4 linked regions of the Oreochromis niloticus genome follow. The protein of the gene in region 4 purifies or fractionates together with the protein of the main gene of each other region. This does not show direct contact. Links are inferred from orthologs where the notes say so. Each region holds a gene or a part of one and is shown on either strand. Other genes may lie near its edges.

Region 1 (7,380 bases), on a different chromosome or scaffold from region 4:
CCACTGAAAGCTCACTGGTGCATGTTGTCGCAGTAATCCCAGTACCAGATGGTACCTGTCAGCTCCACCACCTACAAGCAGAGTGCAGCTCTGGCAGTAGCTGACACAAAAACTCAGGTATGGAAGGAGTTCAGTTAGACCGTGGAGAAAGTGGTTACTCTACCACATAAAAACTCATAAAAACCTTACAATTTGTAACATTACTCGTAATAAAAACAATAAAAGCAATAAGATAATTGCATTACCTTTTTCATCAGCCTGTGGATCTTCTTTACTTTCCTCTTCTTCACTTGTTTCTTCACAGTATTTTGAGGAACTCCTGTTAGACCTCCACCCCTGTGACATGACGAAAAATAATAACCAAAACTGCTCTTTAGTTTCCATTAAAAAAACAGTGACTTTAATAACACAGCACAACAAAGCCAAGATGAAGTGTGACTTACTGCTCTCCTCTGCTCAGACGAGCACACAAAGGCTAAAGGTAGGCCCATACTGGCCATCATCTGAGTTTCTTCATCCAGCTCCTCCACCTCAGTCTCCTCTTCCTCCTCCTCTTCACCATCATCTACGTCTATGAGTTGAGAAATGTATTTTTAAAATCATGGCAACTAAAACTAGACAGTACAGCGAGGTTAAGAGAGCCACATTCTTCTACAACACAGAGTATTCAGTGAGAACACCAACTCTTTACCAAATTCAAGTCCGTCTTATGAGATGTTAGAGAATCAGAATCATGTTCCTCAGAACCTGCTAAAAAACACGTACCACCAACCCCAATTCCTGATACATTTCATAGATGATTATTTTAATCCCCAGTACTATTAAATATCATGATAGGATAGGATATACCTTGTACAGTGTTTTCCAGGTCAGGCAGAAGTCTGTTATCAGAACGATACAACTCTCGATCCCTGTAAAGAGGCGATGGACATAAAGGACAGATGTACTGTAGGACATCCATAGATGCATCTGTACATATCAGCGTATCCACTAAAACTCAAGGTTTTTGGGTACTGAGAACAACAACATCTAAATGACTGTGAAAATATAAAGTAATATACTTGCATTCATACAGAGTTTTTCTACTCCTATTCAACACTCAAAGCATTTGACATGACACACGATATTGCCAGAAGTATTCATTAAATCGTTAAATTCAGGTGGTCCAATCACATCCGGGTGTATAAATCAGCACCTGGGCATGCAGACTGATTCTACAAACATTTGTGAAAGACTGGGTTGCTCTTAGAAGCTCGGCGAATTCCAGCGTGGTACTGTGATACGATGCCACCTGTGCAATCTTGAAATTTCCTCGCAACTAAATATTTCACAGTCAACTGTTAGTGGTGTTACAACAAAGTGGAAGTGAGTGGGAATGACACCATCTCAGCCACAAAGTGCTAGCACGTAGTGCACAGGTCACCAACCTTTTGCAATTGCTACAGAACTCCAAACTTCACATGGGCTTCAGATTAGCTGAAGAACAGTTAGGCAGCTGCATTGAACGGGTTTCCATAGCTGAGCAGCTGAATCCAAACCTTGCATGACCAAGCGCCACGCAAAGCATCTAATTCAATTCAATTCAATTCAATTCAATTCAATTTTATTTATATAGCACCAAATCACAACAAAAGTCGCTTTATATTGTACAATAGATCGCACAATAATAAATACGGAGAAAACCCCAACAATCATATGACCCCCTATGAGCAAGCACTTTGGCGACAGTGGGAAGGAAAAACTCCCTTTTAACAGGAAGAAACCTCCGGCAGAACCAGGCTCAGGGAGGGGCGGCCATCTGCTGCGACCGGTTGGGGTGAAGAAGGAAAACAGGATAAAGACATGCTGTGGAAGAGAGACAGAGATTAATAACAGATATGATTCGATGCAGAGAGGTCTATTAACACATAGTGAGTGCAGTGATGTAAAGCATGCTGCTATTACTAGACTTAGAACAAGCACTCTGTGGAAAAGTAAAAATCTCCTGCCTTTCATAAGCTCCAGTATTTGATAACCACCAATATTTAAAGCTTTAACACAAACACCTCTCACAGCCTAAAGGGAATTTTTACAAAATTAATTAATTTGAGCAGAGACTGTGAGCCAGGTCTTCTCATCCAACATCCTTGTCTGACCTCACAAGTACATTTCTAGAAGAAAAGTAAAAAATTCCATGAACATACTCCTAGAAAGCCTTCCCAGAGGAGTTGAAGCTGTTATAGCTGCAAAGGGTGGGACAATATCATGGGATGTCACTCAAGTGCATATGTGTGTGAAGGCGGACGAGTGAATACGTTTGGCAATATAGTGTATGATAAGTTTCCACCGCTCTGTGTGCAAGACAACACCTCTCCTGGTGTGGCAGCTCATACCACACACTGCTCATCTTTCCAATTCAGACTTAGCACACAGTTGCTAACATTTTCTTGTGGAGTTTAGCACACCATTGTACTAGTAACAGTAGCAGCCTTGTAATAACTGCGATTTATTCAACTGTGATTGATATAACTTTTAAAAACACTGCTTTGTGGTAGTCTTCAATCAAGTCAGTTATACAACAGTAAATCGGCTATTCATTAAAACGACATTTAATACACGAAATTTCAAAGATTTGACTGGTTTTCATTTCTTGCTGTCTTTTAATAATCCACACTGGCTGGTTGCCATGGCAGCCTGGCTGAGATGTCAAACACCGGTTTAGATCAGACTGTTGTTCGACATGCGGTAAATGAATTACGTGTATGAGAATAGCTCTAGCGGACAGAGGAAAGGTGGTGGAGGCTCACTGTACGAAGGCTCTGGAGCAACGACAATGAATCGTTTCTTCCTCCTGCAGTGACTCCTTCTTGCTGAAGATGATTTCCGCCACCAGGGCTACTCTTCTCATTTCCAGCATCATGGCGGTTAGCTCGCTACAACAAGAAACACACTTTCATTTACCGACGAGCTGCTCGCGTCTTTAAGCAGCATGGGACTCTTTCCTTTATTATTGATTATTTCCGCACTAGAAGCTAACAGCGGATTTTCCGCTATTTTTCAAAATAAAAGTTGCAAAGTAGTTTTTCTTCGGCACATTAATGTAACTATTTTTACTGAATTTATTACACTTTTTTAATTTAATGGCACCTTTTGACATTTTCCACTTTTACTTTTGAGGGATATTTTCTAATTCTCTATGACTGTATATAGTTACTGTTTGAAAGCTGGTGCAATTCAGTTTTGTTTTTATTTTGAAGCGAACGAGTCGACCCGGAAACTCTTTATTGTAAGCCAGTAAGAACTCTTTCATCGGTACAGCACAGTTTTAGGATAGAAATCTGTGACTCTGTGTTCCCCCAACGACGTTCCGGGTTGATGAACAGGATAGTTGATAGCTCTAAGAAGTATAGGTTTTGCTAGTGTAATACTGAATATCGTGCTACATTCTAATGGCACGCTTTACCGAGTAAGCAGTCGGTAGGTACCGTTTTTATGTTTGTAACCGTGGAGTTGGCTTATTGAGAAATGTCAGATTTTCCGGCTCCTTCAATGAGACTTAGCTCTCAGTCAGTTATTATACCGTAGCCCGAGTTCGCTGTTGTCATTTTGCTGATCAAATGTAGCCTCTTCCTATTCCCAGTAAAAAGGTGGTGGTGTTCTAGATACTAATGCTATGTAAAGTTGCTGTCATTTGATTTGATGTTAAAAAGCTGCTGGTGTTTATTAGAAATTGTAGTTGGTATAATACGTGCTATTTACATCTTTTCTGATCTGCGTAATCCACTGCGACTGTGTATTTGTAAATGTAGTCACAGAACTGAGTTAGCGGTGTCCTCCTATACCTCCTTCTTATGTAGCAGCCGGTGTTCTCTATGCAGTCTACCTGAGACCTGATCTGAGCGTCACTCGGTTGAGCTGGAGTTCTCGTGGCTGAGAGCAGAGCACTATGTCAGGCACTGGCAACCAGTCATGTCTGACGGGCGCGGAGGACACTCTCTCTCTCTTGGTATGCATCCTGTCCATGCATTACAGGCACCTAGGACTTGATAATGAAATCGAGCTTACCTAGAAACAAATGTGTTATTTATTTAACATCAGCTTTGGTGTTCATGCATTATTTTATTTTAAGACGCACACAATACAACAAATTTTCCATAATAGAGGGTTAGCACTGTTGCCTCACAGCAAGAAGGTCCTGAGTTCAATTCCACAATCAGGCCGGATCTTTCTGTTTGCATGTTCTCTCCCAGTACTCCTACTTCCTCCCACAGTCCAAAGTGCTTGGTGAATTGGTGAGTCATTGCCCATAGTGTTAGCCCTGCGACAGACTGGCGACCTGTCCAGGGTGTAGCCTGCCTCTTGCCCTTAGACAGCTGGGATAGGCTCCAGCCCCCCACAAGGAGAAGCAGAAAAAGATGCATGGATGGATTTTCCACAATATGTTGGCAACAAGTGGATAATAAGTCCCACAGTTTGAATAATGGGATGTCTCTCCAGCCCTCTTTGAGGCCCTCTCCTCCACAGAGGAGGCGTTCAGATCGTGGGCCCCACGCCATTCTAAATTTAAATGTAGATAATTTGTCCCGAAATGTAGTTGTTATTACGATCTCACCTGGTATTACAAAGAGTGTTATACTATCACTATGTCACATGTTAAGTTGTGAAAAGAGCTTCTATGGTGTCAATCGCCTAGAAACTCTAGATTCTCCCTCAGTGGTATTTTATGTCCAACTGTAATGTTACATAACACTGTTAACCAGTTTTTAAAAGTAATGCTAATACAAACAAGAATGTGTTGCGTATTTTAAAGTTACCTATCCAGTAATTATTGAGATGTTTTCATCTGGACCAAAGTGATGGATGTTAGTATTGACATTCTGGTCCTGGTCAACAGGTGTGTTTGTTTCATGCATGGGAGGAATGGGCAGGTCTTGATCAAGAGGACTATCTGAGTGTCTTGGAATACCTGTTGTGGGTCTTCACACCCCTAGCCATCGTCTTCATTGTGCCTTTCCTCATCGTTATCTTCCTTTACCTCTCTATACTCTTCCTTCATGTCTACAAGGTACGTAAACAGTCCCTACAGTCTCAGTCACATAAATAGAGTAACACAAATCAAAGACCTTCACTGTTTAGTTATCATCTACAGTTCCCTCTATAATGTTTGGGACAAAAACACAATTTTAGTAGCTTTGCCTCTCGACATCTGCACAGTATTTATAGGACTGTCTGACTGAAGTGCAGACTTTCAGATTTAAGTAAAGGAGTTCACAGCTATTTTTTTTTTTTTTTTACATAGTTCCCTATTTTTAGAGGGACAGTTGACTGGCAAGCAGTTTCATGGACAGGTGAGGCCTGCTCACTTGTTATTTCATAAAAAAATAAACCAGTTGATTCAAAGTATTGAGTGGTATTTTATAGTTTTATATATGAGGCCTAAGTAGGGATGGGAATTGATAAAAATTTAGTAAATCCAGTTGCATAATCAATTCTCATTGAGACCATCTCTAAGCAGTATGTCACAGACATTAAATTCATGCATGGTCAAATGTCTGTGCACACTGGAGGTGTTTCCCCAGTTTGTTGTGATCAGTGTTGGGATCATTACTCCAAAAAAGTCATTACTGCACATATAACACACAACACTTTTCTTCAAAGTAATGATTTCTTTGAACTGTTCTTTTTCCAGGTTTGGAAAGATTGTACAGCATACATCTTTCATTACTTTAAAAAGTAAAAATTGGGTGCACAAATTAGAAGTTATTTTGGATTTTCTCTAATTCAATCGGGAAAGTCTTCAACACTACTTTAGATAAATAATGGTCTCTCTATACTCCATGTAATGTCAGGAAGTTGGCAATGAGTCGTTTACTTTAACCTACTTACATCAGACATTTTTGACTATGCTTGTTGACATCACACCTTTTTTTTTTTAGCCTTTATAGGATAGAGACAGTGTAGATCAGGGGTCGGCAACCTGCGGCTCTTTAGTCCTTATATTGCGGCTCGGAAAAATAAATTATAAGTATTTAACTGAAGTGTTTTTTATTTGTGTTAGTTCTTTTTTAAAACTTGTAGTTCTAAATTGGAAGATTATTGCGATCTTGAATAATAAAAATAAAGTTATATTTTATTATTTTCGTTGTTCAAAATAAGCGTCACACTCTTTGAAGCCGGTATACCCGCCGAAACGACGTGCGTTTACCGAGACTTTCAGCCCCAGGTAGGCCTAGTATGGAGAACTGTAAGAAAAGAAAAATATCTGAAGAAAATACAACATTTAACGATGCCTGGGCAGAGTCATTTGTATTTACTTCTGACGAGAGTGGCCTACCAGTATGTCTAATTTGTGGCGTGTCGATCTTCGGATCCACATATGTATGTGAGCATCTGTTCTCCACCATGAACTATGTTAAAAACAAACACCGCACACGCCTCACAGACGACAGCTTACAGTCCTGCGTAAAGATGAAAGTGACTTCGTACAGCAGACGCTGTGCGCAGAGGTTCAGGAGCAGAAGTCCGATTGTAAACACATCACGGCACCGACGATGTTTACATGAACATGCTCTTCAGCATCTCTTTATTGACCACTTTTCACACACACAGCCGGCTGTAGCTTTCCAGCGCACAGCCCGACACATACAAACAAGAGCAGAGAGAGCAAGCAGGTGAGGCGTGATTGCGGATGCCACTCAGGTACGTCTGCCTCTCCTGCAGCGTCACTGCGGGCCACGCCCCGCGAAGCACATTAACCCGGTAAAATAAATATTATGCAGATATGTTGAAAATATTTATTTTTAATTTTTTAGGAGCATAGTGCTTTTTTCCAATTATTTTTTAAATTCTGGTCAAGGCTCCGCTCCGGGAAGCCCAGAAGGCGATATAAGGATGACGGCTCACTGTTTTTCTTTTGCTACATGGATAATTTAAGTTCAGCTTTTTAATTCATTTAAAAGACACCTTCAACTGGTTGACTTTATTTTTAGTTATTATTTTTTAAGGGGTGACAATGTGTTCATTACATAAATAAAATTTAATTTTCTCCGTCTTCTCTTTGCTGACCCCTGGTGTAGATGGACAGGAAGAGGGGAGACGGAGAGAGAGGGGGGAAGACATGCAGCAAAGGGCCGCTGCTGCTCTCGGGCCATACGGCATATGCTCGCCTGCTCGCCCGCTGAGCTAAACCGGTGCCCCAGGCTGTTATATTTGTGCTATTACTGTCTCTTCGATTTTTTTGTTGCAGAGAGACGTGTTAAACTGCAACTCTACTTACTGTTTTTTCCCCCAATTATCTGTAAAACGCACATCATTTTTGATCGCCACTGAGACATCCAGAACAGGAGACCATGTGGCCAAACATGTCACTCCCAGTCCGACTGGGGAGGGGGAATGTTGGGA
Region 2 (7,823 bases), about 13 Mb from region 4:
TTCACCTTTCTTATCAAATTTAATCCTTTTCCTTTTTGTAGTGTTTATATGGTTAAAAACATTGATGAATAATAATATTTTTGAATATATTTTGCAGTTTGTGTTGTGTATATAAAGTAATGCAAAGCCTAGTTATAGATCTAGTGCAGTGCTTTGTTCCTGACCTGACATTCAGATTTAATCATACAGACTTGTGGTTGCAACAGGAGCACATACTGTCATTTCAATACTATAGCTCATTTTACGTCTGCTTTGGATGATTACAATGTTGTGGCTCATAATCAAAAGCCCTATTGAGAATATGAATGGGATTTTTACTTCCCAAACCTCAGTGTTGAGGTTCATAGAAGTCCATGCAAAATCATCGCTCCGACTTTACCTTGGAAAACACCTGAGTTTACGCGCTCAGTCACTCATTTTGGATAATACTGCATAAAACATTAAGTGACTTTTATAAATTTTGGTCACCAACTTTCAAAAATCATGATTATCCAGGATGTGCTCATTGGCTGACACATTTTGATTGACAAAATGCCCCAAAACACCGAAGAGAGCGAAGGTGAAAACATTCATCCTGAGACATCAATACAGAGCTTCACAAACCAGAAGGTGACATCATGGTTGCTACATCCATTTTTTAGTTGGTCTATAATCAGGCATGGCAGTCTGGTGAGAGCTGCAGTGTTCAAAAGTCATGAAAGTAAAGAATGAATGGAAATAACATCAGTAGAATTACATCTTTTTTTTTTTTAGTTATTCCCACTCAAAGGGGGTCAAAAAACAAAGCTATGAACCAAACCAAAGGATTTATGCTATAATTTAATTACACCACAAATTATACAGCATAGTCAACAACAGTACAATTTTTCTTAACACTTTGCTGGCACCATAAAGTTTGATCAGCATTACTGACCTGCTGTGTCCACCGTCCTTGGCAAAGATTCGGATGGTCTTGTCAAAGCTGGCAGACACAAACTCCTTCCCCGTGGGAGCATAGTCAACATCTAGCACAGCAGACACATGGTCCATGTGTACCATGATGGGCTTGGCCAGGTACCTCATGTCATATGTGTAGAGGCTGGTGAAAAGGAAAAAAAAACAAAAAACAGTTTCTATGAGCTGACAAAAAAAAAAAAAAAAAAGGAGGACCAGCTAAAATGTGATCATATGATTAAATCAGAGTTTCTTTCCCAGACTCACTTGTAGTCCTCATTTGCACATGTGAAGTAATAGGCTTCCATGGGGTTCCAGCTTAATGTGTTGCTCCTCATTGTCATGATGACCTTAAGAAGAAAGTGAGAGCAAAAAGTAGCTGATTATCATGCCACATCCATGTAAATTAACAGGGAGATAAACGGGTACATTCCTGCACAAACTGTAAGGGGAGATTTACCTTTTTAAGTGGTGTAGATTCCCTCATGTCATAGAGCACTATACTTCTGTCAGAGGCACAGCTTGCAAGAAGTTCAGTCTGTGGAGAGGATAACCCTTGTCTTTATTTATCAGCACATGTGTTGGCTTTAAGTCGCCATAAACACTTGTGAGCTTATACGTCCAAGCAATCTTTTTCGTCACATGACTGGAGGGCGGGGCCCATGTGTGTGAGATAAAGCACGTGGTGTCTTACCTCCACAGGGTTAAAGTGCACAGAGCTGAAGCTGTCTACACCCCAGGTGAAAGAGCGGATCGGGCTGCTCCTCTGCTCATCCCAGATGTCCACCTGCTGGCCGCACGTTGCAAATACAGGATCGTTCTGATGATGGTCCAGACCTGTGTACACAGTCTACAAGGGACATTTTTTTTTCATTCATACTTCACCGATACATGAATATGCAATTCTATGCGATGAAACAGCAAAATTATTACAGCATACTTTTCCCAGGATGGTGTTAATTGGCTCCTCTTCTTCTCCGTAGCCTGGTGATTCCATCTTCCATTGTTTGATTGTTTTGTCATCACCGACCTGTTGCAGAAAAAGAAGGCACGTTAGATGTCAGCTAATATGAAGTCAAACAATTCAGAAAGGTCTTCAAAACGATGATCAGTTACCGTAAAGAAAGAGGTCCCACAGTAACGCACAACCATTCCCCGCACAAAACCTTCATGTGCCTGAAACGTCCGAACGCACTCGTGTTTGGACAGATTCCACACCTTCACCTGAAGATCAAATCCAAAAGGAGAGTCCTGTCAGTTTGCAAGAAAGGCTGAGATTAAAAGGAAATGCATCTCCACATACCTCCCCATCACAGGAGCCTGACAGCAGGGTGGAGAGGCTCTTCGCGTGCTTGGCCATACAGTTCACCCCATCTCTGTGACCATCCAGCGAGGCCACGAAAGGCTTGGCAAACACACGCTCCAGCTTGGTGGCGTTCAGAGCCCGAGTGTACTCCCTGCTCACCTCAAACGGATGAAGAGAGGGGTCATAGTTTCTGGGGACTAAAAACACACAGCAGTCACTTCTTTACGTGCTGACAGAAAAGAGCATTTCCATTAATTAAAAAAATCTAAGTATGCAGGTATGTTGATGCTAGCCAATTCATGTATCACAGACTGTTTTTAGGTTCCATAATAAGATTATAGGGGTTTAGAAATATGTGAAGCAAAATTTGCAATTCCAAATAAGCTAAATGCAAAGACAGATATGCAAAATGAGATTAACAGCATGACTGTTGTTTCAGTAGCTTTAATCAGATGCTAACCCTGTAGCTCTTTCGTATGTATGCTGTTAGCTATTTAGCCGAAGTGTTTCACTTACCGCGCTGGATATCCAGTTTGGTCTCCCGGACATAATCATCCGGGTTCCTTGCGATGACTTTAACTTTCATTTGGTAGCGAAGGGGCACACTCTTACAGAAAAAGGAAAATTACAGCAACAAAAATATTAGCAAGTAGTGAACACACCAGCCATGTGTTGATAGCATTGGTTGCTAGCGATGAGAGTCAGCGATCTCGCGTTGCATTGTGGGATGTCCTGTCCTCCTCGTTGCATCCATTGACTGTAGTCAATGGTTGCGTCAGTCACAAGTAAAGAAACGAGTTTTAAAGTTACAACATTTAGAAAGAGAAGGACCGGAAATACTTTTTTCGTTTATTTGTTTTCAGTTAAGTCAAGGAAACCCAAGGCCAACCTTCGGAGAAAGGTTCACGGCGACTTCAAGGGACCTTTACCGAAGACACAGAATAAGATAGACATAATAATTAAGTTCAAAATTACAAAATTATGAAGAAATAAAAGATATATGAAAGCCTGTAAAAGCACTATTTAAATCATTATTTGAATAGCCACACTGATTTTATGTAATTTATGTGGAAAACGTATATTTTTAATATAGTTAAGTTTTATCAAACATGTCCCCCGAGCCATCATACAAAATATGTTCACGTAAAAAATCCTAACTTTTGTATTAGCAAAATGAATACATAAATAAATAAAGCATAAATACTATCTTATTTAACGTGTGAATTATTCTGAATTTTTTAACCGGAAGTACTATTTCAACAACGGGAACTTGTCATTCCTTAATAATAACAGCAAGGTCGAGCACTGGCTCTGCGACTTGACACTTGGAGAGTGCGTTACACCTGTGAGGTACCTCCGCATGTTAGAAACGTGGTGCGTCATTAGCACAGAGATATGAGGAAGCTTTTCCGTCCTCGTACTGTTTGTAAACTCGCCTCAGTTTTATAGAGAGAGTTACATTTTGACACGGTGCGTGCTTGCGGTGTTGTAAACAGTACTAGCCGGTAGGATCTAGCTAGCTACCCAAGTTGCCCATGAGCTCCGCTCCAAATCACGGTCCCGTTTCAGAGACAGGACTGCCCGGCAAACCCGTGTCTGCTGTCTCGTTCGGCGGACGACTACAGAAGGTCTTTAGCCATGTGAGGGTAGAAAACCTGATCGCGGGACTCAGCGGGGGAGTGGTGTCAACGCTCGTGCTTCATCCCCTGGACCTGGTCAAAATCAGGTTTGCAGGTACAAAATGAAAATATGAAATTTTAAAAGTAATTTCCTTACTGTCTGATGTGCCATGCTGCTATGACTTTACTTGATGCTGCTGAGAAACTACTGCCATGATGTGTTTAATTCGTATCATATGACTTCAAGGTCTGTAATGTCTTTTAAATGCAGTAAGTGATGGACTTGAATTAAGACCGAAGTATAGTGGCATGCTGCACTGCATGAAGAGTGTCTGGCAGCAGGAGGGACTGAGAGGACTCTATCAAGGCGTGACACCCAACGTTTGGGGTGCTGGTGCATCTTGGGGCCTCTACTTCTTCTTGTACGTAAGCTATAAGCCTTAAAGAGGACATGAAACACTACACATAAAAGCTAATTTACATCATGGAGCCCTGCTCGCAAAAACTGACATAGGTGTAACACTGTCTGTGAAGCTGGATAAGTGCTTAAAGTTAAAGTTTTAAAAACAGGATTAGCTCCATCTTCTGACTTCATGTCGTTGGTTGGTTGCGGCTAATAGGCTTACATTAGTTTATGTTAGCTTACTAGTGACAGAATCGATAAGTCAGAAGAAAACAAGGACACTGAAACTAAAAATGAGTATAAGGCAATCACTTTTATGCCGCCCCTGGCTGTAACAATGAGTTTTATGTTAAGAAACCGAGGATATACTGTCCACTTTCACTGTCTGTCTCTTTAGCAGTAAGTGGCTGCTTGTTGTTTTGCTAGCTGCACTGAAACTGGAAAATCTAGCTGTTAGCCATAATGTTTGGGATTGTACAGCACTCTATGAATGAAAAAAGCAGCATGTATGACTTTACAACTGCAAGATGTCTTATTGCCCTTGCCCTGTTCCCTCACAGCTACAATGCAATCAAAGGGTACACAAAGGAAGGTCGTCAGGCTGAACTGAGTGCCACAGAATACCTGGTGTCAGCGGCTGAAGCTGGTTAGTACTACCCGTGTTTGAACACTGCCGCACTACAGAACACCACTCCCCCACCATATAACCAGCACATGGTCAATAACACCAGCTAGATACGACTGCTACAAACTGGTAGTAACTGACAAGGAGTTAGTTACTTCTGGTTCAGGGCAGCCTCAAGTGCTCGTGTGAATGGGGAAAAAAAGGCATTTACAGCCTTTGCAAGGTTTTCATGGGAAATAAATTGAAGAATCCAGTGACAGGGGAAGTTTTATAGCTACCATCAACAGCATAAAAAAATGAAACCAAAACAGATATGTTTTATTGATTTGATCTTGTGATTTATTTATTTATTTTCCCCATCAGGCACTCACATCATTCTAATGAGAATGAGAAGGTTAGAATGATGCTTGGGTGGCATTAAAGTGCACCAGTGCACTCTGTTGCGCTTCTTGTTCACTTTGGTGACATGATCAGCTAATTCCAAACTGTGCTGTGCACAAACAGCTGGGCATTTGTGTGAGATCTCTAGCACAACTTCACATAAGTCTTTTTTTTTCCTGTACCACTTCAAAGTTTGTGAACTCCTTGGTCCTGTTCTTCATGTCATAGATATTCAGTTATAGTAAATGACTCTTCACTGAGGGGCCTGTGTGCTAATAATCACGGGTCTAATAAAGTAGTAGAAGTCACGTGTGCTTCCTAGTGACATTTCCTTGCTTGTCCTTGCCTAGGCATCCTCACACTCACCCTTACCAACCCAATCTGGGTGACCAAGACCCGGTTGGTGCTGCAGTACAGTGCTGACCGAAATAGCAAGCAGTACAAGGGGATGTTTGATGCTTTGGTTAAGATCTACCGCCATGAAGGAGTGTCTGGACTCTACAAGGTGAGACATGAGTGTGTTGGTGTTCCTTATGATGTAAGATTTCTTGGTTAGCAAGTTTAAACATTTGGGAGGGGTGGCTTAAACTGGGAGATTTTTCTACACCTGTTAATGCCAGAATGTTCTAGTAGTCTTTATTATTTACAAATAATTATTCTCAACTCTTCTTCTTTAACATATTATCCCTGTTGAGTAACACTTGTAGACATGATTTCCTCTTCCGTGCTCCTTTTTGTCTCCCTGGTCCCAGATGGTGAGATTCAATGTAACAAGTTGATAACCCTCGTTTGTGACAGCTTTTCTGTCACTTGTTTGGTTCTGCTTAAACATGCATACTGTGATTTCATGCATGGCATCTCAGCTTTGTTACTGAGATGGCAAACTAGCAACAATTCCTTAAAGACCTGACAAAAAAATAGTCCACTGTGGTTTTCAGACTACCTGCTGGTGTCAGAGGAGAGACTGTGCTGTTGCTCGCTTAGATAACAACATGGTGTGTTTGTGTGCTTTGGGGATCATTAGGTTTACCACCAAACATTCAGTGGTGATTAGGACTCATATTTCATATCCATATTTTGGGAGTAAGTACACTCATTGTTAAAGAAAGAAGCCTCAGCCCTGGTGCAGCTTTTGTTGGTTTGCTCAGTGATGTTCTGGCGTGTTTTCTTTTTGAATTATTTTGCTTTTTTTCGTGTTTCTAAGTGGGGAGACAAATTAATGTGCTCTGAATATCCCCTCAGATCTCACCTTTGCTTATTTTGATAGGAATACTGAAGACCTCGTAGGCGCTGTTGACTTTAATCACCACTAGAGGGCATCAGCTGCCTTTCTAGCTGAAAAAAACACAACCCATTTATGCAGTAGTAGAGGTTTTAAGCAGTATGTCAGCCTCTTCATTAACAATATTGAATTGTAATTTGCTGTCGGAAACAGGATATCTAAAGTTCCAGAGAAAATAGGGCCAAGGGCCCTTAATTTAATTAAGTTCATATAACGCCAAATCACAACAACAGTCACTTCAAGGCTCTTAATATTGTAAGGTATAAACCCCACAGTAATAACCACAACAATCAGACGATCCCCTATAGCAACCAGTTGGCGACAGTGGGAAGGAAAAACTCCCCTTAACAGAAACCTCCAGCAGAACCAGGTTCACTAAGGGGAGGGAGACAAGACAAAAGACACACTGTGGAAGAGAGCCAGAGATTAATACTAACTAATGATTAAATGCAGAGGGGTGTATAAACACACAGAGAGCAAAGAGATGGGGAGCCACAGATTTGTGGGCTTTTCAGTGGATAAGTTGCACTGTGGGAATTTGAGTCTCAAGTCAGATCGACTTACAGAGTATGTCTTTAAAAGGGTTATGTTCCCGGTCTGCTCGGCACGTCTCACGGAGCACTGCAGTTCATGGCCTACGAAGAGCTCAAGAGAGACTACAACAAATACAGAAAAGCACATTCAAACGCAAAGCTGGTGAGTCACAGACCGTGAGCCACAGACAGGCTGGAAACATTGTTTAATAAAACTCAGCCATAAGGCTTGTAACTTTTGAGTCTAATGAGACAGAGTCCACAGTTGATAACAAGTGACTCATCAGTTTTCCTACACTGCTCTGCTCCCTTCTTCCTCCCTCCATTTATCTGTCTGTGGGAACAGAACCCATTGGAATACATCACAATGGCAGCATTATCCAAAATATTTGCCGTGGCCACAACATACCCATATCAAGTGGTGCGAGCTCGCCTGCAAGACCAGCACAATAGATACAACGGAGTTATTGATGTCGTCAGACGGACATGGAGGTAAGACACCAATCCGCTCACAGTGGGACCGAGCGTGCCGCCCCCGTCTCAGGCTCTGAGCACAGTTCGAGTGACTGTTATGATTGATGCTTACCATTTTCCCACTTGTCTCCTCAGGAATGAAGGCACCCTTGGTTTCTACAAAGGCATCATCCCCAACTTGATCCGCGTCACCCCAGCCTGTTGCATCACCTTCGTGGTTTACGAGAACGTGTCTCACTTTTTTCTCGGGCAAAATAAATGAGGTTT
Region 3 (7,293 bases), on a different chromosome or scaffold from region 4:
AGTGGATCTGAGTCTCAATCAGTGTCTCCACAGTTGCCTCCTTCCTGGTGAGGTCAACGACTTTGGGCTTGGACTTAATCCCCACTTTCTCCATAAGAATTTCCAGCTTGTTCCTCTGGTCCAGATTCTTCTTCTTCTTTTGAAGGAGGCGAGTGGGAAGGCTGTGAACCATCGTCAAAGTGGCAGAGAACACAAAAGTTTGCCTAGTGGGATTGAAGTGTGTCGTATTTAGCATTTCCAGCAAATTCTCCAGCTCGGCAAAATGCCCTCTTTCTACCATGCGATCGGCTTCATCAATGACCAGGCACCTGTGTCATAAGAAGAAGAGGAATTAAGAAAGGATAACAAAAATCTAACAAATAGGCCTGCCTGAAAGACTTTATCACAGAACACCGAATCACTGATCTATTGCTCAAGGCTCTTTCACACATGATATGATTTGAGGGTTAAAATCAGTGTCAGTAATCGGGTGAAGGAAAAAAAAAAACCTTATTGTGGTATTGTGATATTTTGTGTGGCGATATTGTATTGATACAGGAACACCAAATATTAATATTTTATTAAATACATTAAAATACTCTGGGAAAACTTTGAAAAGAGGGCTCGATTCACTTGATAGGAGGCACCCTTCCTACTAACAGGTGTAGTCTGATTTGGACTGACTGCAATCACTCTGCAAATAATTGTTATCTAATATATGAAACCAGACAGATAGCCAACATGTTTCCATGAGTCTGAATGAGTCTTTCTCAATGTGCACAGTTCATCAACTGGCTGCCAGCTGGTTCTATTTTGGGTATATTCTTATAAAACAGGAAGGTTGATGAGCGCAAGTTAAATGTTAGTAAAATAAAGTAAAATAAAACATATATTTAACTTTAGGAAATAACTTGCAGTTTAAAAAAGGTGACATATTTTATTGGAATACTCAGCATATCACAAAATAATAAAAATCATGATAATATCATATCATAAGTGAAGCGCTGTGATAATATTGTATCGATTACCACCTCTAGCAAATAAGTCAGTCTTAAATTAAGACTCACCTGAGCTGCCTGAGGTTGACCAGATGTGGGTGCCTCTCCTTGATCAAATCCCACAAACGCCCCGGAGTTGCTATGATGATCTCTGGCCTGCGTTTCAGCACTCGTCTTTGTTTCTGCTGTGCCATTCCACCCACCACTAAGGCTGTTTTTATATCTGCACAGCAGGAAAACATTAGCTATGCTGACATTTATAGATCTCTTAGAAGAAAACTGCTATCGTAATACTCTGATGAGCTATGACTTACCTGTGAATTTTGCGACAGCATCAATATGATGTTTGACCTGAACAGCCAGCTCCCTGGTGGGAGTGAGGACCAGTCCTAAGAGGGGTCGACTCTGAGCACCAGCGGGTTTTTCATCAAAATCAAAGTCTGCATTCTTGATTACCCGAACACATCCAAGCTGTTCATCTTCTACATCGCTGTGTTCATCTTCATCCGAGTCTCCTTGATTCTGATCCTCAGCATCTTCATCGTTTTCTTTAGAAGCCTCCACTCCCTCCTCTTGGTCCTCTTCAGCTGATTTTGTGTACTCATCTACAGATGGTAAGTACAAACTCTCCACCTTTGTGACTGGTTCAGCGTCATCATTAGGTTTTTCTGGGCTATGCTTCCACTCCAGGATGGTATGGATTATGGGAATGCCGAAAGCCAGTGTCTTGCCACTTCCTGTAAGTACAACATCCGTATTAGCTTCACTTTTAAAAATCTGTGAACAGAACATTACACTATAAACCTATCACTTTTATCTTACCAGTTTCAGCTGCTCCCAGTATATCCATACGATCCCTGATAGCTGGAGGCAAACACAGGGCTTGGATCGGTGTCGGTGAACCAAATCCAAGACTGCTCAGTGCCCTCAGGACAGGTGGGGGGACAAACAGGTCCTTCCATGCACTCATGTCAACATTTTTGTCTTCAGAACCAGAAAGTGCAGCGTTTGTCCAATTCTTTGCCTTCTTGTGTGGGGCCTTTGTCACTTTATTTTGACCGGATTTTTCTTTTTCCAGATCTGATGAAGACTCTGGGTTTGGCTGTTCTTCTGGGACTGTATCCTTCACTGTCTGCTGCCCTTTCCCCTTTTTCTTCTTCTTCCTGCTCCTCTTTGTATCTTTGGGATCAGCAGTGATGGCTGCAGAATCATTTTCATCGCCCTCACCTGATACCTCATCCTCTCCTCCCTGCTCAGTGGCAGCATTATCCTTCTGCTTTACGTCTTCTGCAGAAATATTTTCCGACTCCTTTGCAATGCCTTTCTTGTTTTTCCTCTTCTTCTTGGCTTTTTTCTTCGCTGGCTCACTTGTGCTCTCCCCCTCTTTGATCCCCGAGTCTCCTTTCTCTCCAGCCTCCTCGCCGTCACCAGCTTTTCTTTTCTGTGCTTTCTTCTTCTTCTCCCTTTTCAGCTCTTTTGCTGCTTTGGCCGCAGCCTGCTCACTGTTTATTAAACGGTAATCCGTGAGCTCTTCGAAACACACCAGACCCTCCAAGCCCTCCTCGGAGAAGACGCTGGGATCGAGGTCTATGGTTTTCCATTTGCCTTTCATGTCGATGCAACGTTTCGCTGGCTTCCCCAGCCCGGTGGACATGCCTTTGTTTTTCGCCTTCATCTTCTTTGTCTTCATTTTTCTGAAAAAAAGTAAAGGTGTAAAATAAGTGACTTTAGCCGACCTCGTGAAGTTCCTAACGTTTAGTTGTTAAAAGCACACGTGCACCCCACGTTTCTTAACGCCAGCGGACAACTATTAACCGATAATTAACAGAAACTAAGCGTACAAAGTCTACAGTAAACTACTAGTTGAATTAATGAGTACTAAAGTCTTACCTGGACTGAGTGTAGGCTCTCTTAGACTTCTGCTACGATTACATCAACGCGAGACACGAGGGCGCAGCCATGACAGTGTTGATCACGTGGTTTGAAAAACTTTATTTAAACAACAGGCGCTGTTTCAATTTCTCTGGTCATTTTAACCCCTTATACCGCCTACATAAACGTTTATAAAAATTTAATAAACGTTTAAATAATACCCGAGGATGTCAAGGGTTTTAGTTTATCAGCTTTCATTTTAAGGATAATACGCTGTAATTTCTTAAGGTGTATTGAAGTTTGTGCCGAGGGAGTTGCTTCACTACAGTAGTATTTATTATTAGTAGCAAATATAATTAAAATTATTTTTTAATGAAGGTTGTACCTGACAAACTAGCATATAATCTAGTACATAAATAAATAAACGCATTTGTGGAAAACAAAGTTTTCATTGGGCTCTCTGCCGTCCTGTAAAATAAAATAAAATAAAATAAAACAACTACACCCTTATGTTTCAGGAGCTTGCGGAACCACCTTTAACGGCGTATAACTGAAGTAATCGCTTGTTGTGTGACTCTCTGGGAGTCTCCCACATCATTGTTTAAGAATTTTAGCCCACTCTTGCTTCAGTTCTTGAAGGTTGCAGGCATTCATTTATGCACAGCTCTCTTAACGTCCTGCCACAGCATTTCAGTCGGGTTGAGGTCTGGACTTTGACTGGATCACTGAGTCAACATCTTGATTCTTTCCTTCTTCAGCCAGTCTGTTGTAGCTTTGCCCAAACCTGCGATGTTCTGTTTCATTACACAATGAAATTTGATCATTTGACTCACTTGTATACAAAGAGTTCACCTATGACTCAATGACCACAAAATGCCAAAAGTCCTTTGGTATGATATGTTGTGTTTGGTTTTCACAAAACATGGCGTTGTGCATTGTGCACTTTGGTCTCATCTGTCTGGTTTTCTTAGATGCAACTTTGAAAACTTTAGCCATGCTGTTTGATTGTACTGTCATGAACATTGTTTAACATGCAAACTGAGACTTGTAGAGTAGGTGGTGTGTGTGTGTGTGTGTGTGATCAGGTAAATTAAATAAATTTGACTAGAGTTCCTCTTTTTAAAATTACTGTAAGCAAAATCTTTAAGGCAAAAGAAAACTGTTTCTTTACAATTATTATAGTCAGCCGGTAGCATCAGTTTAATAACCTGATAAGATGTGCATTATTAGAACGTGGTACTGATGTTTTGTTTAATTTGTCGATTAAGTGATTACATTTATGCTGGTTGTCATAATTTGGAGATGTACGTACATTTAAAAGATCCAAGTTTGTGATGCAGGTGAAGTTTTTATTATTATTGGTGAAGTATGTTGTAGGAACAGAACAGAAAAAAAAAGCTTTAAACTGTCTGGGATTAAAACATCCACCAAATTAGTCATGTAGAAGCCACTTAAGAATGAACACATTACAGTGGCAAAACTATTTGTTGGTGGGGTCAATCACCCTCCCCATGAACAGCAGGCAGTTTGTGTTTTCATGGTATATGAAGAAGAAGAAGGGTCTGTTTATAGTGAAGGTCCTCGGCAGGGAGTATGGAATGATACCCATTGTTGTGGCAGCTGCTGCAGTTGTTCCTGTCTCATCCACGTCAATCATGGCCTTGTGAAGCACCTACAATTTCACAGCAAGGTTAAAAGTGTTTTGCTGCACTATTTGGCGAACAGGCACATATGTTGCTACATGACAGTGAAAGTGACAACTAACCTCTGACAGCTTGAGCCCTTTGTCCTCACTGAGCTTTGTCAAATTGGACAAATTACTAAAGACACTGGTCATGCCCATATGCGGTAGAAGATTATGGAGGGAATACGACTGCTCCATGTTGAATTTGGGCATCTTGACTTCCAGTTTCCTGCAAACAAGACATGAGTTGACATGTTGAATAGACTGGCTCATCTGCTGCTGCAGGCATTGTTTTATGGTCATTTACACTTTTGTTAACCGTTGCTTTTTACAGCTAAACAACAAAATATGCAGACTCTTGGTTAAAGCGAGGCATTTTTCCTCACATACATTTTTCTCAGTTTTGCGATCCAGCTCTGAAACCTCTCTGCAGTAATCTCATCATCCACCATAGTGTAGTCCATGTCTGGGTTGGGGAGCAGGATAAGCATGGAAACACCCTCTTGGTATGGCAGTTTCAGCACTTTGGCTCTCAGAGAAACATCTTCTGCAGTGTAGTACTTGTCTTCTTTAAACATCATAGGCACCTGCACAATATTATAATTATCGATGTAGAAGGGTCCATTTCGAGTGAAATTGGAGTTGAAAGGCATCTTCCAGGCTCCTGTGGAGGAGGTAATATTGTACGTTTAGTTATAAACAAAACAGTTCATAGGTGCAGACATGAATATTAGTATAATTAATAGCACATAAACCCATAAACCCAATATCTAAAGTGTGCAAAAAAGATTTAATTTACCTTGAAAGAAAATTGCATTCATTAACAGGAGTTTGGTCTGTTCGTCCAAGGCTGAAATCATCTCTGTAATCTTGCCTTCAGTCTTGTCCCTAATGTACTCATTAATTACTCTGATACTCTCTGTTGTGTCCGCAAAGTCAACAGTTTTGATATCTGCATTAAAAAACTTATTGATTTTGGTTTCAAACTCCCTCTCTATGATAAATTGGGGTTGGATAAACAAGGCCATGCTATGATCAAATTTCAGCGATCCATTTTGCGTGACGTTCTCGTGAAGGAGTTGAAACAGTTTAGGGATAAGATCCGGCTGGTCAGCCCTCTCCAGCGCCTCCAGGTTTAGTACCTTCAGGATCTCCTTGTGTGTGACACCATCAGAAGCCATTAGAAGAGCCGCAAAACTGGTAGAGATACTCAGGGGGGAAAAAAAGATGTTCTTGTCATGGTAACTGGATATCTTTCTGTAAAGGTTCATGGCAAAGTCCATATTTTTGAAGGAGAGATCTGAGATGGTGGCACTGTTAGGTCCAGCTTGGTGGATAGGAGTCAGAAAGCACAGGAGGGCCACAAAGAAAAAACAGGCCATCTTCATTTTGTTTAACATCAAAATTAGAACCTAGAAAGTTTTGCGTGCACACCCAGAAACGAGAAATTAAAAACAAAAAGCACCACTGTACAGCAGCACAATCACTAAATCTACAAAAAATATAAGATTACACCAACTGAATACTTATTTCTGCATTATACTTAGAAAACGCTCTGAAATTTTGTATTTAAGTTTAACAAAATAACACCACGTACCTTTCAGCTTGGCCCAGATTGTGCCTGAAATTTCTCTGTATTTTTTGGGGGGAACAAAGTGCAAGTGTGCTCTACATGTTACACATTAACCACAAAAAACGTATTCAGAGGTGAATCCATAAGAATCAATCGATAAGTAAATGAGACACGAGAAGCATTGGGAGTGAATTTCACTTTAATCCTGGAACGAGAACCAATATATTAAACAAAAGAATGTGCTGTTCTAACATGAAGTATAACAAAAATAATGAATTTAAGAACACAGTGAATAAAATAATAATAAAAAACCCCCCAACTACCAACATTTTCTAATTTTTCACAAGTGCATTTTAAATAGAAAAAAAAAATAGCAGATCCAAAGGAAACAGAACAGCAACAAAATCTTGGAATCTTCTTAAAAATCATCCAGCACAATAAGCCAAACTTTGCATGACATCCAACATGTTAGTGAAGGCATCAAGACACATTTGCGCTGAATGGTCAGTTCAATGTTCTGAATGAATGTAAAGTGTTTTAATGCTGTAGTTTGGTGTAGTCACGAGGACAGATTCTCACTTTCAGGACATTACGGTCCTGTAGAGAAAAATAAGTGAGAATAAGTCAAATCAACCACTTCGTCAAAGGGTAGGTGATGTGACACATTTGTTTTTTTTTTTCCATTTTCAAGGTCATAATCAGCAAATAAATGAAACCAATGAATCTTTGATTTTCTAACGTGTGCCCCCCCCCCAACCCCCCAACCCCCCAAAGACCAAAAAAAAAAAAAAGAAAAGAAACCAAAACAAGTCTGGAAATGCCAGAATTTTGGCTTGTGTGATCATACACTGCTGGAACTACTCATGTTTACATGATGCTTCTTTGTTCCCCACTTATTCTGGACAAAAATAAGAAAAAACAATGCATCAGTGATAAGCAATTTAAATTCAGCAAAAAGTCCTACACAATTTTTTTTCATCAATCTGATCAAAAAGGACAAGACACCCTTAAATTGTGTCTGTAAGCCTTGCCTAATCATACGTTTCATTATGCCTACATGCATACTTATAAGTAATAAAGCCACGACATCCAAAATATGCAGCTCTCTAAATGCCTGGGGAGACCACCTGTAGACTGTCATGTATTGAGGTTGATGATGTAAAGAATAAATAACCCACAGATGTTAA
Region 4 (7,073 bases):
GTTACTGTCTCACTTATTTTGGTCCTGCTCCAGCTATAATCTTTTCTGGACAGATTTTTGTACTTTTGTTGTTTCTTTTATCTATTCTGACTTCTCTCTCTGTTATGGGAAATATTTTTTTGATTAATCTGCAAATAGGGCAATTTGATTAATTAACTCATTTTACTGGCTAAAATTCATAGATATAAAACCAAATTTTCCAATGGAAAACCGTCTTTTCAATGCTGTATAAATGAAACCATACAATATTTTAAAACAATACAACATTTCCATAATGTAAAAGCAATTAAAATAAACCTATGCTCCTTCTGTGATATCGTGTGATTCAAACCCTTAGCCTGTGTCTAACTGTTATTACATGAAACTCCCTGAAAGTGTCTTTGGCTTATTTAACTCTGTGATGTTTGACTTGCTAAAAAGTGCCTGGGCCTCGACTGATGGCCATGAGACTGTAACCTTCTTCTTCTTTTCAGTTTAATGGCGGTTGGTAAACCAGCTTAGATGCGCATTACCGCCGCCTGCTGGACTGGAGTGTGGATCTGGAAAAAATCACAGATTTCAACAGTTGGCCATAAACTTGAGACAGTGCCCTTCCGAGCAGGTTTTCTAATGTCAAATTTATCTTCAGCTCCTCAGAGATTGCTATTAATGCCTTCGTGTCCTAAACACAGACCAGCATCCTAACAGTACATGTTGAACACAGCCCAGTTATTTGCAGTGCTCACACAGTTCCATTGGGTGCTTGACTATTAGCTGTAGTGTTTTATTACTACTGGTTGAAAGTTTGGACACACCTTCTCATTTAATGGTTTCTCATTATTTTCATGACTATTTACATTGTAGATTCTCACTCAAGGCATCAACACTATGGATGAACATGTATGGTTCAGTAAAAGGACTAGATGTTACTGTCCCTGATATCGCATTGCTTTAAATGGAGAGAATCTTGAGGGATGGCTGTTATGAGGAAAGACAGCCCAGAAACTTTACCAGCAGCACACATCGTAGTGTGCTGTATCAAACAAAAAAGTGTGAAATAACTCCAAACATGTTTTATAATTTAGATTCTTCCAAATATCCGCCCTTTGCTTTGATTACTGCTTTGCACACTCTTGTCATTCTCTCCATGAGCTTCATGAGGTCGTCACCTGAAATGGTTTCCAACAGTCTTGAAGGCGTTCCCAGAGATGCTGAGCACTTGGCTTGTTTGCCTTCACTCTGCGCTCCATCTCATCCCAAACCATCTCCTTTGGGTTTAGGTCAGGTGACTGTGGAGGCCGGGCTGTAGTCGTTGCAAGTGTCTTCAAGATGCAGGTTTATTGAAATGGCCATAGTGAGTCCTTGAATATAGTAGGCTACTGTGAACTCTTAAGTGTTAGGTCATGTTTTTTGCACTGATCGCACTTCTATGTACACCCAAACACTAATGATAGCTAATTTCACCTCGTGTTTGTTTCATGATAGGTTTTCTTTTTCATTTAAATCAATGCTGCCAGCATCTCTGGACGGTCTCTGCCTCAGCAGCAACACAGATTTACATAAAATTGATCATTGATAAATTGTGTTAATTCATCCGTTTTTGTGTGTGTAAAAACTGTAAACTTATATCCAATGAGTTTGTTCATTTTAACATTTTAAACTTGCATTAATGTGACACTGGAACTCATTGTTGTTGGAAATGGGCCTAATATTTGACTTGTTCAGTTTTATTTATAGATTTTTTATAGTTTAATCAAGGTGCCATCAATCAGAGATCCCCTCTGAACAGCTCTTTGTAAGAGTAACAAGGAGGAGAAACCAGGGTCATGAAAGGGCAGCCACTGTGAAAATACAAATATTGTACAGTTAAATTTGTACAGACTATATCACTGTGGGTCAACCGTATTTTTCATTGTTCACTCTTATATACAGTCTTGGATATACTATGTACTATATTTTATTTATTTATTTAGTTTATTTTTATTTTTGTATTGTTATTTATTGTATATATATTCTTCTTTTTTTTCTTAACGGTGTGCTCTTTTCACTTACACTGAGTGGCAGGGGCGATTTTAGCCCATTTTTGGGGGGTGCTTCAACCCTCAATTTATTCGTAATAATTTATTCTGTTTTGGGAGTATTTTTATGTATCTGTATTATATTATACATACACATTAAAACTGAATCTCTGTCCAAAAAATGCACTCAGTTTACTTTTTACTCACTATGATCATCATTCATTATCCTCCCCCAGTAATTAAGGTTAGGATGTGTATTTTTTTATATTCCAATCCATTCTTCTTTTGTGGCATTTAAATAAACTTTATCAGATTTATGATTTTGTTACAGACTTTTCAAAAAAGTGTTTTGCTTTTCTTTCACAAATGTGGGGATTAAATTGTGTTAAAATGTACAAAACAGTGATGTCATGTTTTGTGACGAGGACCCAGGCACAGAGAGACTTGATGAATTTAAGAATCTTCTGATTTAAGAAAGAAATTTGCAGACTTGCACAGAGATGGTAAAATTCTGATGACTGATAACGGAGATGAAGACAACAGACGACGAGGACAGGGAGGAACAGGGGTTTAAATGCACCAAGGAGACAGTCAGAGAGAACTCGGGACAACTGGAGACATTTAAGGATGCAGGGACTGACAGTCTCTGTCGTGACGTGTAAAGTTTATCTTGCCTGGATGGGCAGCTCTCTGGGTGCTCAGCACCCCCAAAGCTCTGATCCTAGAATCGCCCCTGCTGAGCGGGTTTGCATACAGTTTCCGTTGTTCTTAAAGCACACTGACAATAAAGATTCTAATTCAGCCGTCTGCGTTCAGATGAGGGTGAAGAAAAGAGGAACTAAGATGTATGTTAATGACATGCAGTAGTGGCATATAAACACATGGGGAGTGAAAAGGGGTGTGGGGGATTCCCATGATGCTCTGAGCCTATATCAGAATGACAAATGACTCAGTAATTATTCACTGTGATTTCCAACATTTCTGCTCAATAGAAATGAATCTGAATCTGATTTCCTTTCAAAAACAGTTATACCCTGCTCCTCTGAGCAGCAGTGATGTGCTTGTACGGTCTGTGTGTTCTGATCATTTAGCTAACATCAGTACAAAGACTTTCTTGTTATTTTGAAGTGGTCTTTTAATAGTTGTCTCATCCAGGGAGCTTGGAGAAAAACAACTGGACTTCTTTAAGTTTCTTGAAGATGTTTCACCTCTCATCAAGCTTCTTCACTTCTAAAACCAAAGGGTGCAGAATCCTGGGTATGTAATCCCATGTGGGAGCTGGCCCTCAAGAGGACCAACAATATTGATCACATGTACCAAGGTGTGAAAAAGGGTGTGGGGTCATTATTAGCAGAGGTTTTGGGTGAAACTATTGTGAGACCTTATGCGACCCATTGAGATCACCTGACGCATGATATGAGTGGGGGTAAGGGTCTGTTAAGCGTCTGGGAAGGGATCTCAAACTGCCTTGTAGATGGCAGACAGATGGTGTCAAAGATGGCTGCTCACAGTGGACATAGGTGGTTCTCAAGTCAAGTCAAGTGGCTTTATTATCATTCCAACCATGTGCAGTGGTACAGTACACAGTGAAACGGAGCAACGTTCCTCTGAGACCACGCTGCTACATATAACAGACAATCAACACAGGATTACATAAAGTGCAACAAAACCAAAACAAAGAGAGTGCAACACCAGACAGAACAGAATAATGCAGACACAAGACAGTGCAATAGAAAAGTGCAACAACGACAGCGGGTTGTGCACAAGAGTGAGCATTGTGCAAAAAGTAACTTGGTGTGTGTGTATGAGATTGTGCAGATAAGTGCTGCTTTGACTCTCTTTCAAACCATGTGAAATGTGAACACTAGCATCCTCGAAAGAGTGACCGTTATCGTTTAGATGCAGATATCAATCAGAAATCAAAGACGGATTCCGGCTTCAACATTGTGACAGGAAGGTTGTTTTGGCACAACATCCGGCAGCTGAGAGCAGCTGTCGTCTGTTTGAAAACAAGATTTCCGTCTGTGTCCAGTTGGTGGCGGTAATGCGCCATTTTGCTTGCTAAGCAGCAGTAGATTAGATAGAAGAAGAAAGTTTGTGCTCGGTCGCACAGCTGCACGTGGGACGTGATCACACCGTGTCTGTTCACTGAGGATCAACACAGAAGAGAAGCGATTCGACTCCGCGGGCTGCGTTCATTTCAGTAGTTTACGCCAGAAACGATGAAGCCAGGTACAGTAAGATTACATGTGCTTATACTCGGTAATGCGGGCGGATGTCTGATCGTGTATTTAATGAGCCTGTACAGTTAGATACACTGCGTGGACGGCCTACACGGCCACGTTGTCCGTGAAAACTACAGCAGACTTGGGCGAACAGTGGCTGCCTGAGCGCGTGTTTTGTTCACGGTGAGACGTTCATGTGTCCGCGCAGTCTGAGTTGAACACGCGCTGTGCTCCACGCACGTGTCTGGGACTCAGTGGGGCCCACACAGCGACCTCCGTTACAACCAGAGTTACGGTTTTACTCAAAGTCGGGTCGTGCCGTCTGTAACCCGCTCGAACTGTTTACAGCTCCACGAGACGTAGCTCGCGCTAACGTTAGCCCGGCCGGAACTTTGTGTGTTTGCGGTTCGGTGAAAGTGTCCAAACATCACGGGGACGGCCACGCTGAGCACGCCGACACAGAAGTCAGTGAGTCGAGTCTTAGCCCGTGTTCCTCCCTGTTACTTCTTATGAAGGATGTTTCTGAGTGTGGGGCGTGTTGGAAGAACCACGTTATGTGCGTGTTATGCTGCGTCCCTCAGCTAGTCGGAAGTCGGTGTTTAAATCTGGAGCGCCACCTCAAGTCGCGTTTCGCACTCGAAAATCCCGAGCAGCCCCAGCGACCCGGGTTAACGATCCAAGATGGCGGCACTGACGTAGGCAGCCATGTACTGTAAAAGGTTGCTTTGGCTCATCTGGGATTTGGGAAAAACGTCAGGTCCCACCTTCATGTTGGCACCAGCTGTCTGACCTGCAGGGGCCGTCTGTTTCACTAGTGCCTGCTTGGCTCTGCTTTTAGGGTTTCCAGTAGGTGTTTGTACCTGATACCAGGGAACCTGCTCGTAAGGGGTTGTAAGTGAGCTGAGTGGGGTCAAAAATGTGACACCAGTGGAATGGTTGGCCCATCGGTGGCATCACTTAGTGAGTCTTGAGAGTAACTCATTCACAAAAATCTAAATTACCTTTTTTTTAAAAAAAACCAAACACAGCTAGACAAAGAACAACACTGTGGTCTCAGAGCCCGACAAGAAGCCATACACCGAGCAACAGGGATACCATCATCTTGATTTCCTCCTCTCTTTGGTGTTTGTGGCATACAAATGAGATCACGGGTCTTTTAGCCACATCGCTATAACGCCCACACCCACATGGAGGTGTTACTCGGCCGTAATGGAAAACGACCAAAACAGAATCTTTTGAAGATGAGTAGCTATGAGTGTAAAAGCGGCACCATCGTCCTTGACTCTCAGTGGTCTGGTTGCCACGTTACTGTGGATAACTTCAAGTTTGAACGTGTTGTTCCAACATTGCTAGTTTTGAAGAGGTGGATATGGTGTGTGTTTGAAGTTTCTGTTGGTATTTCACAACCTCCAGATCCACATGTGGGGCAGCTGTGGCTCAGGCTCATCTATCAAGGTTGATGGACTGACTCACACCGACTCCAGTCTGCATCTTTGTGCAACATATTGAACCCAGAGTTCCTCCAATGCACTCAATGTGATGTGTGTGTGAATGTCAATGGATAAAAGTGCTTAAGAGAAGATGATTGGGTGAATAAGTGTTATAGATGTGTCCGTCTATTTACACATATAATAAATGATTCATGGTTTCAGGTTTCAGTCCTCGCATGGACAGAGGAGGAAGAGGTGGAGGACGCGGTGGAGGCAGAGGAGGGTTTGGTGATCGCGGAGGACGAGGAGGATTCCGGGGAGGATTCCGGGGAGGAAGAGGTGAGACTGGAAACGTGTCGTTTGTATCATCACATCGTGGATGTCATCCTCAAATGCCAGGATGATGACTTGAAGCAGTTACAGAACAAAATATTTTTATTCAGGTATCTGCTAATAATATAATATTATAGGCTGTTAAGTTCAAATGGTAACAGTTTTGGTGTTTTGAACACACTTTCGGAGTTAAAGCAGCTTCCAAAACATTGGGTGCTCCACTTGATCACAAACAGCAGCTGAAGTGTTGCTTTGTATTTCTGCTTCTCCAATTACCCGAGCAATCTTTAAACACCACCGCTTTCACCAGACCACCGCATTTTAACCAAGCATTGAGCGCTCCACTTGTTTCTTAACCCTTTAAGACCTACCATAGAACCAAGTCCGCCAGAGTTTCTTTACATTTTACATGCTGTAGTGCCATTTTTAGGAGCATTTCAAGTTGCTATACATCAATACAACTGTTATATCCCAAATTTTAATAATATGTATGCATTAAGTGCATAATAATTACATAAATTGCAAAAAAGTGCAATAAACTACAAAAAAAGAAAATCATTTTTGTTTTTTTAACATATATTTCTACTTAGAGAAATTTAAGAGGCTTATCCCTCAAAACTGTAAATACAAAAAAGTTGCACAAAATAGTTTCCAGCAACAGGAAATTTATTTTGAGTGTCTTCAGTTTTATTTTTGAGATACACCAATTTTTATATACTGCAGGAAAAACGAAAATAAGTATTATAATCCAAATTTGCAAAGAAAACCGCATGTGCATCAAAATAAACTATTTCCAGCAGTGCAATTTGAGTTCTAAGCATCCCAGAAACTATTCAGAAAAGCATAGAGTCAAAGATGACTTTTAAAAACACCAGTATAGGCTTATAAGGCCCCGAAGGTTAAAAAAAACCCTACATTTTCCACGAATATGACGTCACTTCCGGTTTCGGGCAAGTAATGGTGGACATGCGATAGTTCGCGCTGACGTCTATTCCAACGTAGGAAGTGTTTTGAACAGCTGATCGTATTTGCAAAGCCTGTTTCTGGAATATTGTTTTTCATGCTGCAAGTGCTTTTTATGCAGTTTT

Evidence for each region.
Region 1: the proteins of fbl (region 4) and tgs1 purify together in Homo sapiens (affinity purification with mass spectrometry; 3 studies listed by BioGRID and IntAct, counting the BioPlex papers as one, with this or other methods). This does not show direct contact. The link is inferred for Oreochromis niloticus from reciprocal best matches to the Homo sapiens genes FBL and TGS1.
Region 2: the proteins of fbl (region 4) and dcaf13 purify together in Homo sapiens (affinity purification with western blotting; 3 studies listed by BioGRID, with this or other methods). This does not show direct contact. The link is inferred for Oreochromis niloticus from reciprocal best matches to the Homo sapiens genes FBL and DCAF13.
Region 3: the proteins of fbl (region 4) and ddx24 purify together in Homo sapiens (affinity purification with mass spectrometry; 3 studies listed by BioGRID and IntAct, with this or other methods). This does not show direct contact. The link is inferred for Oreochromis niloticus from reciprocal best matches to the Homo sapiens genes FBL and DDX24.

Annotation. Positions count from the first base shown.
Region 1 is NC_031982.2:1,809,356-1,816,735, forward strand, and holds the start of tgs1 (trimethylguanosine synthase), read right to left. Parts: upstream 3,012-7,380; 5' UTR 2,904-3,011; coding exon of another isoform or gene 2,900-2,903; coding exon 2,787-2,899; exon of another isoform or gene 2,738-2,786; intron 1,598-2,737; exon of another isoform or gene 1,428-1,597; intron 912-1,427; coding exon 850-911; intron 572-849; coding exon 444-571; intron 337-443; coding exon 246-336; intron 1-245. Other genes in the region: tmem68 (DGAT1/2-independent enzyme synthesizing storage lipids), read left to right, coding at 3,926-3,985, 4,874-5,044. UniProt on the Homo sapiens protein: Catalyzes the 2 serial methylation steps for the conversion of the 7-monomethylguanosine (m(7)G) caps of snRNAs and snoRNAs to a 2,2,7-trimethylguanosine (m(2,2,7)G) cap structure.
Region 2 is NC_031976.2:15,122,664-15,130,486, reverse strand, and holds the start of dcaf13 (DDB1- and CUL4-associated factor 13), read right to left. Parts: upstream 3,011-7,823; 5' UTR 2,826-3,010; coding exon 2,756-2,825; intron 2,437-2,755; coding exon 2,237-2,436; intron 2,158-2,236; coding exon 2,050-2,157; intron 1,964-2,049; coding exon 1,874-1,963; intron 1,784-1,873; coding exon 1,628-1,783; intron 1,472-1,627; coding exon 1,394-1,471; intron 1,284-1,393; coding exon 1,201-1,283; intron 1,079-1,200; coding exon 914-1,078; intron 1-913. Other genes in the region: mitochondrial folate transporter/carrier, read left to right, coding at 3,775-3,973, 4,130-4,280, 4,822-4,907, 5,618-5,772, 7,132-7,245, 7,429-7,574, 7,692-7,818. UniProt on the Homo sapiens protein: Part of the small subunit (SSU) processome, first precursor of the small eukaryotic ribosomal subunit.
Region 3 is NC_031983.2:11,422,775-11,430,067, reverse strand, and holds the start of ddx24 (ATP-dependent RNA helicase DDX24), read right to left. Parts: upstream 3,008-7,293; 5' UTR 2,868-3,007; intron 2,672-2,867; 5' UTR 2,668-2,671; coding exon 1,800-2,667; intron 1,715-1,799; coding exon 1,292-1,714; intron 1,201-1,291; coding exon 1,047-1,200; intron 309-1,046; coding exon 1-308. Other genes in the region: serpina10b (protein Z-dependent protease inhibitor), read right to left, coding at 4,330-4,521, 4,615-4,762, 4,924-5,197, 5,333-5,933. UniProt on the Homo sapiens protein: ATP-dependent RNA helicase that plays a role in various aspects of RNA metabolism including pre-mRNA splicing and is thereby involved in different biological processes such as cell cycle regulation or innate immunity.
Region 4 is NC_031976.2:1,782,028-1,789,100, forward strand, and holds the start of fbl (rRNA 2'-O-methyltransferase fibrillarin), read left to right. Parts: upstream 1-4,059; 5' UTR 4,060-4,219; coding exon 4,220-4,229; intron 4,230-5,874; coding exon 5,875-5,991; intron 5,992-7,073.